Oryctolagus cuniculus: one gene and its partner. The protein of the gene in region 1 interacts with the protein of each later gene in a pairwise test. Links are inferred from orthologs where the notes say so. Each region holds a gene or a part of one and is shown on either strand. Other genes may lie near its edges.

Evidence for each region.
Region 2: the proteins of VIM (region 1) and SMARCB1 interact in binary tests that used the Homo sapiens proteins (3 or more experiments, as listed by UniProt). The link is inferred for Oryctolagus cuniculus from reciprocal best matches to the Homo sapiens genes VIM and SMARCB1.

The regions. Positions count from the first base shown.
Region 1 is NC_091444.1:43,369,032-43,374,905, forward strand, and holds part of VIM (vimentin), read left to right. Parts: 5' UTR 1-2,095; coding exon 2,096-2,658; intron 2,659-3,305; coding exon 3,306-3,366; intron 3,367-5,874. UniProt on the Homo sapiens protein: Vimentins are class-III intermediate filaments found in various non-epithelial cells, especially mesenchymal cells. Vimentin is attached to the nucleus, endoplasmic reticulum, and mitochondria, either laterally or terminally.
Region 2 is NC_091452.1:30,765,795-30,771,328, reverse strand, and holds the end of SMARCB1 (SWI/SNF-related matrix-associated actin-dependent regulator of chromatin subfamily B member 1), read right to left. Parts: intron 2,593-5,534; coding exon 2,461-2,592; intron 2,238-2,460; coding exon 2,198-2,237; 3' UTR 1,886-2,197; downstream 1-1,885. Other genes in the region: DERL3 (derlin-3), read left to right, coding at 1-22, 104-194.

The DNA.
Region 1 (5,874 bases):
ACATTGCTCAAAGAGGTTTGTACAAAAAAGGCTATGCTACACCCTTCAATTGCCACCACATGCTTTTTCTTAAATGCCAGGTGATTTCCAGTACCCGGTCCCCACCCAAAGAGGGTGCAGGAATCTGTTTCCTGTACAATCAATTTACAGAGGTTCTGCAGTTCACCGGTTCGGTACTCCCTAAGTATTCCAGATACTCCGACACCTGTGGTTCTTCAATTGCTGCTTCATCAAAAGAACACTGGCTTGCCTGTCCCTCCATCTCGTGTGTGTGTGTGTGTGTGTGTGTGTGAGAGAGAGAGAGAGAGAGAGACGACTCAATTCCACGTAACTAACAGTGAAACAATAGCCTCTGAGTTCAGCGGTTTCCCCAGAGAGGTTAAAGCGGCTACATCGGAACATTCCCTCCGTGTCCTGATCTCCAAGTTTTTTTTTGTCCTCTAGACAAAAGGCTTCCCCAGCTCCAAGTCCAATCCCACGAATTCCTCTGGAAAACAGGACCTGAGACATTTCCCGAACAATGCACTGGAACCCTGCACTATGCATCGCTAAAATTAACACATACATTCGGTCATTTGAGTTGTATAATTGCCTTTCACTTGAACTCACGAGTCAAAGTGGAGTTTTTAAGCAGCGCCTAATTAATTCTTTCATTGGCTCCCACGTCACCTATAACGACTTCCACCCGCAGAAAAACTGGTGAGCACTGAATTCGGTTGTGCAACTACGGACTCGAGTTTCCTCTTTCACCCAGAACTTCGAGATCCTGTTCAGAGTCGGGTGTGGCCTCACAGTAGGGGCGGGGGGAGGAAGGGGGCGGACGAAAGGAGCCCGGGCGGGCGAGGGCGGCAGGGAACCGTGCAAAGCCAGGTCTTCAACCAGCGCCTTCAAGAGCGCCCAGACCCATGCCTGGTGACGCTCCAAGGGCTGCAGAAGTTTCTCACGAGCGAGAAGTTCGCAGCCTGGGAGCAAAGCCAGACTTCGGCGAGTTCTGAAAAACTTAGGGGCGCTCTTGTGCCCCCAGCCCGGGCCGCACACATCAAAGCGGAGGCCCAGCTCCAAATCAGTGGAGATTGGAGCGATAAGTGCGCGCGGGGCCCGCGGAAACTTGAGTCAAGCTCGTCTAACGGTTTCCCCTGAACCGCTAGGTGCCCTACCCCTCGGCGGGGTGCTGTGAGTCACCGCCCGTGACTCAGCGACCCCACCCTTCTCCCCTGGGCTTCCCTCGGCCGCCGCCTCGCAGCTCGGCCGTCCCAAGCTGGACTGAGCCCCTGAGTCCCTGGACGAGACCGGGCCGGAGCCCCCTAAAGAGGACACACTGAGAAGCGTCGCGCGCAGAGGAGCCCGCCCTTGCAAACAGGCGGTGCCCGAGGCTGCGCGAAGCCCCGCGCTGCGTCTCTGGCTGTGTGCGCCCCCACCCCGCGCTCCAATCTCGGGCGCTCTTTGTCTCTTTCTCCTCCGCGCCTGGCGATCTGCTGGATCCCTTACTCCCCCTGTTCATGCCCCTTGCCCGCAGGTCTCCCCATCCAGAGGCTCCCAAACCGCAGCAATCCAGGCGCCACGCACCGCTCCCGCCCGCGCGCCTCCTCCCACGCCCCCTGGGCCGGGTGCCCGGGACCCTTTTGGTCCAGATCCAAGCGGATCCCCACACCCACCACGGCGCAACCCCGCCTTCATTAACATCCTGGGATGAAAAAGAGTTCCGGCCATCCTGAGGAAAGCCCCAGAAAGTCTCAGCGTAGCCCAGCCCAGCCCACGAAGTAACGGGACGTGGCCCAGGCCAGAGCCTCAGACTGGGAAGGCTCCAGGGCGCCCCCGCCCCAAGCCCCGGCCCACCCTTCCCACTTCTCGCCGGGTCCCCATTGGCTGGCGCTCACGGCGGCTAGGATGGCAGTGGGAGGGGACCCTCTTTCCTAACCGGGTTATAAAAACAGCGCCCTCGACGGGGTCCCGTCCTCTGCCACTCTCGCTCCGAGGTCCCCGCGCCAGAGACGCAGCAGCGCTTCCACCGCCCACACCCACCGCGCCCTCGCTCTCTTCTCGGAGCCCGTCCGCGCCGCCGCAGCCGCCCAGCCCACCACCGCCCTTTGCAGCCATGTCCACTAGGTCCGTGTCCTCGTCCTCCTACCGCAGGATGTTCGGCGGCCCGGGCACCGCCAGCCGGCCGAGCTCCAGCCGGAGCTACGTGACCACGTCCACCCGCACCTACAGCCTGGGCAGCGCGCTGCGCCCCACCAACAGCCGCAGCCTCTTCTCCTCGGGGTCGGGGACCGCGTACGTCACGCGCTCCTCGGCGGGGCGCCTGCGGAGCAGTGTGCCCGGCGTGCGGCTGCTGCAGGACTCGGTGGATTTCTCCCTGGCCGACGCCATCAACACCGAGTTCAGGAACACCCGCACCAACGAGAAGGTGGAGCTGCAGGAGCTGAATGACCGCTTCGCCAACTACATCGACAAGGTGCGCTTCCTGGAACAGCAGAACAAGATCCTTCTGGCCGAGCTCGAGCAACTCAAGGGCCAGGGCAAGTCCCGCCTGGGGGACCTCTACGAGGAGGAGATGCGGGAGCTGCGCCGGCAGGTGGACCAGCTCACCAACGACAAGGCCCGCGTCGAGGTGGAGCGCGACAACCTGGCCGAAGACATCATGCGGCTCCGGGAGAAGTAAGGCTTGCGGGGCCCCGGGAGGGAGCTGGGACCGGGCCCCCCCGAGAGGGCTGCCACGCCCTTGGGGCGTTGGCCGGGGCGGCTGCAGCCTAGGGGACTGCAGGGGCGCGGCAATGTGGCTGCGGCGGCGCAGCCCCGCCCTGAACCCGAGCCGTGCGGTTAGCATTTCCCTTACCCATAACCCAAGTAGGTCCGTTTCAAGTTAAGAGATTTCTTAAAACGACCGCTTTGTGCGTGCTCGAAGGCCCTTGGGCACGACCGAAGCGACGGGCCCAAACTTTCAGAAAGTTTCCCGGCCCCTGCTGGCACGCTGCCAGTCCCCAGGCGGGAGGAGGAGGGGGAGGCTGCGGAGGAAGCAAGACAAAGGGATGGCCGAGGGTCCCCAGGGGCGGGGCGGCGGCTGCCACTGGCATCGCCTTTCCACGCCGGGCCGCCCCAGGTCCCGCGAAAACCCGCCGGGGAGAGTGGTGCCGAAGGCTGCGGTCGCTCGTCTGCTGCCCGCTGGGGTGGCGCCGTGGCTCGTGGCTCGCGGCTCGCGGCTCGGGACTCGCGACTCGCGGTCGGGCGACGTGGTGGCTGGGTGTGGCCGCCCCGCCCCCGGCGGTTTCCCGGTTCCTCTTTGGCTGACGAGCAATTGTTTTCAGGTTGCAGGAGGAGATGCTGCAGAGAGAGGAAGCCGAGAGCACCCTGCAGTCTTTCAGACAGGTTTGTGGACTCCCTCCCCCCCCCCCCCCAAGGCGGCCTCAGGGCCACACCCAGCCACCCCGCCGGCCCGCTCTCAAAGTTTCTAACTTTTCAGTCTATAAGCGCAAAACTTCACATCTGTGCGCAAAGCCCCCTAGCGGCGGCAAGACCACGGCTTAGAGCCTCTCAGTAAAAAAAACCCTTGAATGATTTCCTTAGTTGCTTAGGACATAAAGTCTTTTATACTTTTTTGTTTTGTTTTGTTTCAACAGTTATTTTCCCCCCAAGACATATTTTTTCATATCATTTTTGCAACACATTAACATTCGGATTGCGAACAGTTACAGTTTGGCTTAGATTCTGGTTTGCTAAAGCCAAGCTGGTTGACTTTTTACAAGGCCACAAAAAGCGCAGTTAGGCCCTGTGGCTTCCAATGTAAAATGTGTTGGAGGATGAGACGCTGGCATGCAGCCAGTAGGCTGCTTCCCTGCTCTGCAAGTCTATTGTGGCGTTCAAGTTAGGTGGAAGTTATCACTAGGCACAGCCATCTGCGCGCTCAGCTGAAGGGTGTTAGTGGTTCCCATGGGCTTCACCAGGAATGTAGATACAGACGTGCTGGCAAATGTGGTGGCCCTAGACAGACATAATAGGAGTCTTTGTGTTCCCAGAACAGCTTTGCTGCAGGCTACATTCTCATTGAGAATGTAGTGATGTAAGCACAGTTCTCATTGGACAGAAGTATTTGCCAACATCAGCTACCTACTCTCTGGCCCAGACTTGGGAAGGCTGCGATGTGAAACCTTGCACACGCTACAGTCATTCTTTGTGTTTTGAAAGACCTGTATGGGGGTCTTTGACACTATCTCCATCAACAAAAATAACTGCAGAGTGTTTTTTTTTTTTTTTTTTTTTGGCTCTAAAGTTAGATGGACTTAAAGGAATTTTAACTTACAATTGGAATCCTAAAACAGGAAGATCCCCATCATGGCTTGGTTCTCTGGAACATTCACTGGGGTTGGCTACCAAACACACTCAGGTGAACAGTCTAGGATAACATTTTGAAGATTTGCCTCATTAATCGAAACACAGCAATGTGTGGTTGCTGCCTCTGATCACTGTTCCTGATTTTTACCCCCATAACATGATATAATAGATCCCCCGTTGAGGAAAAAAATAAGGGAAAAAATCCTCATTCTCTTCAATGATATAAGAAGTAAAATATCTATATTTTCCTGTGCTTAACAAGAAGCAAAAACACTAATTTTTTCCAAGTTGGGTCTTTTTATTATCACTCACTCCTTATTCACTTTTGCATGATGGTTTTAGAAGTGTCTCAACATTTTAAGACTAGAAAACTGTAAACTGGACCCCAAATGTAGTTGCTTATAAGAGAAGGGGTATAAGGACCTAACTTAGCACATTCCCTTGAGTGGAAATGAAATCCTAACTGCAAGATCACACATTTTTAATTGGAATGTAGAAGGAGAGCAAGAGCTGCAAAGATTCTTACATGCAAGCATTTGACCATTCTGAAACAGGTTAAGGAACTGAATCAACACCGGGCAAGTACAAAGACGGACACGCCCTTAAAGGACAAGTCAGGGAGTTTCAGAATAGTCCACCAGAGAAAGCAAAGCGAATATAGTTCAAATTTCTATTCCTTAATTGCCTAAACTGCACCTTTGTGAAGGCACACCCTGAATTCAGCATTGGGTGGCTACTTGGTATAAATCTAGCCTTGCAATTAACCATGTAGTTGCTTTGAAGAAAGAAAAAGAACTTACAGATATGCCAAAACTTTTTAAAAATTAATTAATTTGAGAGACAGGGAGGGAGAGGGAGAGAATTCCCATCCCTTAGTTCACTCCCCAAATCCCCTGAATGGCCAGGGCTGGCCCTGGCTGACGCTGGGAGCTGGGAACTCATTTCAGGGTTTCCACACGAGCAGCAGGAACCCACTTATTCTGCACCATTACTGCTGCCTCCCATTAGCAGCAAACTGGAGTCAAGAGCCAGTGGCGAGTGTTCAGCCCAGCGAGTTTTCAGCCCAGCCACTCTGATATGGGACACGGGACACAGGGCGGGCAGAGTGGACAGTGAGAGAGAGAGAGAAAGAGTCAGAGAGAAAGGTCTTCCTTTTGCCATTGGTTCATCCTCCAATGGCCGCCGCCGCCGGCGCCGGCGCATCGTGCTGATCCGATGGCAGGAGCCAGGTGCTTTTCCTGGTCTCCCATGCGGGTGCAGGGCCCAAGCACTTAGGCCATCCTCCACTGCATTCCCTGGTCCCAGCAGAGAGCTGGCCTGGAAGAGGAGCAACAGGGACAGAATCTGGCGCCCCCAACCGGGACTAGAACCCGGTGTGCCGGCGCCGCTAGGCGAAGGATTAGCCTAGTGAGCCACGGCGCCAGCCATGGACGGGCATCTTAACTGCTCAGCCAAGCACTTACTTGCCCTGTGCTGAAACTTCTTCTCTACATGTACTCTTATGGACATGAAATTGTAGAGTCCAATTTACTTCTATTATCATGT
Region 2 (5,534 bases), on another chromosome or scaffold:
TGCTGCTGACCCCTGGCTTCCTGTGAGTGTCCCTCCCTCCCAGGGCTGCCTACCCCACTGTGGACCTGTGCTGGCCTCAGCTCAGTGCCGGTCCTCCCTGCAGGAAGCTGCTGCTGGATACCCGTGAGGACCCCAATTACCTGCCCCTCCCTGAGGAACAGCCAGGACCCCCTGTGCCACCCCTGCAGCAGTGAGCCCACCGGCAGGCCTCCATCCCCACCCTACCCCGAGCCCCTGCTGCAGCAGGCCAGGCCTACCCAAATAAACAGAATGACCTGCAGCCTCTCGGCGCCTGGCACTGGCTCTCCCTGCCCTCCAGCCCTCTGAGCCTCACTGGAAGGGGTAGGATGCCCGTGGGGGCCCAGCAGACTGGGAGTTCTCATCCTGGCCCAGCAGTGCCTTGATGGAGCGCTGTCAAGTTCCTTCCACCCTGGACCTCTGCTCCCTGCCTGTGAGTGGGCGGCTGGGGCCAGCAGCAGGCAGGCCCCATTCAGCCTGCAGGTTGGGGCCTGCCCAGCCGTTCCCGTCCCTCATCAGCAGCCCTGACAAGTGGGTCCTTGGCACATTTCCAGCAGGTAACAGAGCCCCATGGGGTCAGGTGCAGAGGAGGGCCAGGTCTGGGTCCTCCTGTTTACGGCCTCAGGGCCTTGACCTGAAGTCCTGCACATACGACAGGAGGCAGGCAGCCCTGGCCCTGCCACGTTGGCTGAGGACTCGCTGCCGCCGCCTGCAGCTCCCTTCACCCTTCTGTTGTGTGCGCCACGCGCCCTGGCCAGCTTTCCCTGTTGCTCGAGGCTGCCCACGTCCTGGCTTACTCCTCAGCAGCACGCCTGGTATCTACATGGTAACAGGGACCTGCAGCACAGACTCTGACCTTGGTTTTGCAGTGAAACTTTGTGGAGCACCAGCTGGCCCTGCGGTGTGTGGGCTGGCGGTGCTCTGAAGGGGTGGGCCTGCCTGCCGGGCTGGCAGAGGAAGGCAGGCAGGATTCCCTCTGTCACAACGGCTGTGGGGGCACAGGGCTGCCTCCCACTCATGAACTCCCCAGCAGTGGAGCCCCTGTGTGACCGAGGCCAGCTGGGTGTGCCCCGATGTGGGACTCTGGTGAGTTCCTGTCTGATGGAGGGCAGGGGCCCAAGTACAAACTCTGGGGACCAGAATGCGCTTGGACCCGCTCCTAGGAGCCCCCAGCCCTGAGAGCCGGGCCCATCTTGCCTGCATGCTGGCCTCATCCCTACTCAGTTTTCCTGCCCTGGATGGGGCTCAGGTTGGATGCCAGGCCCCAGAGCGCCTCTGATCTTCAGCCCTGCCCTGGCGAGGGAGGACCTGTCAGCAGCCGGCAGTGGCACATAGCAGAGACCCATGCGCTGCCTCCAGATGCTTCCATCTTGCACACAAGGACACAAGGATGAGGGACCCCACTGGGGGAGAGCTAGGAGAAGACCCAGAGCTGTCTCTGCAGACAGCACATCAAGCCCAAGAGCCAGCAGCTGCCAGTCCTCCTCACTACAGACCCAGGGGAGAGGAGCCGGCCCAGGCCGCAGTGCCTGCCGGGTTGGAGAGGCCCCATCAGCCAGTTCTGGGTACACTGATGTTCCGGCAGTGCCACTCAGGTGCCCCTGGCCAGCTTCTCTTGATGGAGCAGAGACAGGGTGGCCCAGAGCTAGGAGAGCCCAAGGCTCCTTCCTAAGGCTGGCATGGGGGCGGGGTGTGGGGAGGAAGTTAGAAGGCCCAAGGAGAAGCAAGGATGGGCTCTGCCTCGGGCCACGTGGGGTGCTGAGGTGGCTTCCAGGGGAGCCCCCTAACCCCTGCTGTTCAGGTGGAATGGCCTGGCCGGCAGCCTCGGCCCTGCCCACTCTGCCCTTCTGAAGCACTGAACACCACGTGACCTGTTGCCTTTTATTTAAAAAGTGTTGCTAGCCCTGCCTGGGGCTCTCATACAAAAACAAAACACAACCTAAAACGAGGCTTCTTTCTGGCCCCAGACACTGGGGTAGGGGGCTAATGAGTGGGGAAACAGGACTGGGGCTCAGCAGATGCGAGGTATGGCTGGGAAGGGTGACCCAGGGGGTCCAGGCCCCTGCCCCATTCCTCCAGATGGCACCGGCTGTCCACTGCCCCTCTCCTGATCAGAAGAGGAAGGGGAGGGGTCCAATCTTCTGAGCTGCTTCGTGAAAGCTGAGCGCCAACAGGAGGGTCACCAGGCTGGGGCAGTGTTGGCCAGACGCCTCATCCGCCTGCGGGGGGAGGGGGGGGCAGGAGGGGAGCACGGTAAGCCAGGACCAATCCCAGCTGGCAAGGGTGGACGCCCAGCAGGACACCCCCAGCCCTCTCTGAGCCCCATGTCTCCAGGGACCCTGAGGCCTGGGTCTGACCTGAGAGTGTGGGTCACGGGGAAAGGAGACAGCCCTGCCTCCGCCTGGGAAGATGGGTGCCCCTGGGCAGGGCCGGGGCTGGTACCTCGTGTTCCTGTCCTGGTCGCGGATCTTCTTCTCCATCTCGGCGTCAGTCAAGGTCTCCAGCAGTGGGCACCACTGGTCAGCGTCGCCTGTGTTCCGGATGGCAATCTCCACTGTGGGCAGGGGGTTCTCGCTGGGGGAGGGGGGCAGTGACAGGAACAACTGCTAGTTCACAGCTGGCAGCCACAGTCCCCAGAAACCATCACCCCGCACCCCTCCAGCAGGCAGCCAGCCATGGAGGGAAGGCCTAGCTCTTCTGGCTTCAGCCTCCCCTGTGCTGGCCAGGGGATTCTGGCACAGCTGATGGGGCAGCCAGGGTAGCACCTATCCCCTGACCCTCAAGGGAGCTGCCAGAGTGGCCTGCAGCAACAGGGGCACTGGTACGGCCCTGCAGGCTTCCTTTTGGAGACCACTCTGCACACCTCAGCACCTCCCTGTCTGAGCGTGGAAGGGCTGTCCCGACACAGCAGCACAGAGCAGGGAGGTGCGGCTGCTCCACTCGGTGGCCAGGGCCAGATCCACTGACTGAGAACAGGAGGGGTGAGAGGAGGTGCTGGCCCCAGATGCCTGCTCCTGGGTATCCCACACACTTGCCCAGCAGTGCCACGGGGGCCACTCTACACCCCCAGGAAAGCTGGATCCAGAAACCACATTGCCTGGTCCCTCACAGACCGTTCCCTGGCCAAGTGCACACCCAGGGGGAAGTGCGGCTGAGCTGTCACCATTCTGGGCCTTGGTTTCTGAGAAACAGGAGGATAAGGAGGTGGACGCCACCGTGGACACTGAAGGGCCCCTGTGCCCTCTCCCCGGTGGCTCTGGTCTGAAAGGCAGAGCAGCTTCAGGTGCTAAGCACGCATCCTGGCTCGTGGTGCCTGCTTCATCAGGCGCCCCCCACCGCAGCCTCCCCTGGGCCCCTAGGAGGCTGCCCTGTAGACTGCAGCCCTACCAGGTGTCCCGTTAGCTTTGGGAGGGGCGAAGGTAGTAGGGCCCTAGGGAGAGGTCCCTGGCTGCTGCCTTGGTTTTCATCTGGGATATGGGAATAATAAGTATGGCTGCAAAGCAATGTTGGGGGTCACTATATTGACGCAGTCCACACACATCTGTTGAGGGCGCCCCCTAGAGGTGGGGCCTCGCCATACAGCCTCCCTGCAGCCTGTGCCCCAGGTCACCGCACCAGGTGGTCTATGGGCAGGGCCCGGCTCTTCACCACCTGGCCGGCAGGCACCAACACACTGGGGCCTGTTCCAGCCCAGCCAGAGAGGCTGGCCTGGTCTGTGCTGCTCTCTGTGGCCTGGGGGTGTCAGGGACAGTGAGCACAGGGCCTACTGCACATGTGTGCCTGACCGCTTCCTGCTGAAGCTCAGCCCACTGGGTCTGTGCCTAGGAGGCACAGAAGCCAGAGCTCATGCTGGTGACTCAGAGGCTGGGACGGGGCAGCGCCCACCCCTGACTCCCTTGGGGCTGACCCCTCCTCCGCAGCCTGGTTTGGCAATCCAGGAACGACCCAGCCACAAACCCCAAACATTACTCCCCACCTTGAGGGCGCCCAGCTGCCTGCCCCAGGAGGGCAGACATGAGAGGCGCCAAGCCCACGCAGAGGGGAGCAAAACATGTTTTCCTCGCAATTTACACAAGAGCTGGCGAGCAGGGCCCAGAGGCCCCTTTGTTTGCCTCCCCTTGACTCTGGGAAGATTCCACGTCAGCGGCCTGTTCTAAAATAAGAATGGCTCAAAACAACGCTCAGAACGGGCCTGCAGCCAGCACTCGCCGGCCTCAGGTTTGGGGGCCCACTCAGGCAGAGGCGCTGCCCTCATTTCCCAGTGATTCTAGGGGTGCAAGAGCACCCCTGCTGTGACTGCAGCTCACGGGCTATCTTCAGGTCACTGTCACTGTCAAGTTCATGACCTTGTGTGATGAACATGCAAGGCAAGAAGCACTAAGACTCCCCCTTAGAAATGAGAGAGCTAAGATTTCAAGGGAAGGGGCTGGCACTGTGGCATAGCAGGTAAAGCCACTGCCTGCAGCACTGGCATCCCACATAGGCGCAGGATCGAGTGCCGGCTGCTGCATTTCAAATCCAGTTCCCTGCTCATGGCCTAAGAAAGCAGGGGAGGATGGTCCAAGTCCTTGAGCCCCTGTACCCATGTGGGAGACTCAGAAGAAGCTCCTGGCTTCAGATCAGCCCAGCTCTGGCCACTGTGGCCATTTGTGGAGTGAACCAGTAGATGGCAGATCTCTCTCTAACTTTGCCTTTCAAATAAATAAATTAAAAAAAAAAATTAAAAGATTTGCAGGGAAAATGACCCGCCCAAGGCCACACAACCCAGAGGGGACAAAACACGCTGCCCCCGTTCTGTGTGGAATCAGTGCCTGCCAGTGCCAGTCTAGTGGGTGGGGAAGCAGCAGCATCTCCCATGCTGGGCTAGAAAAAATTCTGGGGGCTGGCCTTGTGGTACAGCGAGAGGTAAGACACTGCCCGCAATGCCAGCATCCCATATAGCTGTACACTTCTCATCCAGCTCCCTGCTAATGGCCTGGGAAAAGCAGCAGAAGGCGGCTCAAATGTTTGGGCCCCTGCACCCATGTGGGAAATGCAGATGAAACTCCTGACTCTGACTTCAGCCTGGTCCAGCCCTGGCATTTGCGGCCATCTGGGAAGGGAATCAGCAGATGGAAGACAGATCTCTCTATAACTCTGATTTTCAAAGTAAATAAATAAAACTTAAAAAAAAAAAATTCTGAACACAGAGTTAGCCTATGATCCAGCAATTCCACCCCTGGGCATGTATCCAAGAGAACACACACAGGTGTTCAAACAAAATCCTATACACGAATGTTCTCAGCACCATTATTTTCAACAGGCACAAAATGGAAATAGCCCCAAGGTCCATCAGCTGCTGAAGTGTAGATAAAATGTGGCTAGTCACACAGTGGAATACTATTCAGCCACTACAAAGAACAAAGTTCTGATACATGCTATAATACAGATGCTAGGGGCTGGCTCTATGGCATAGCAGGTGAAGTCACCACCTGCAGTGCCGGCATTCCATATAGGCGCTGGTCCAAGTCCTGGCT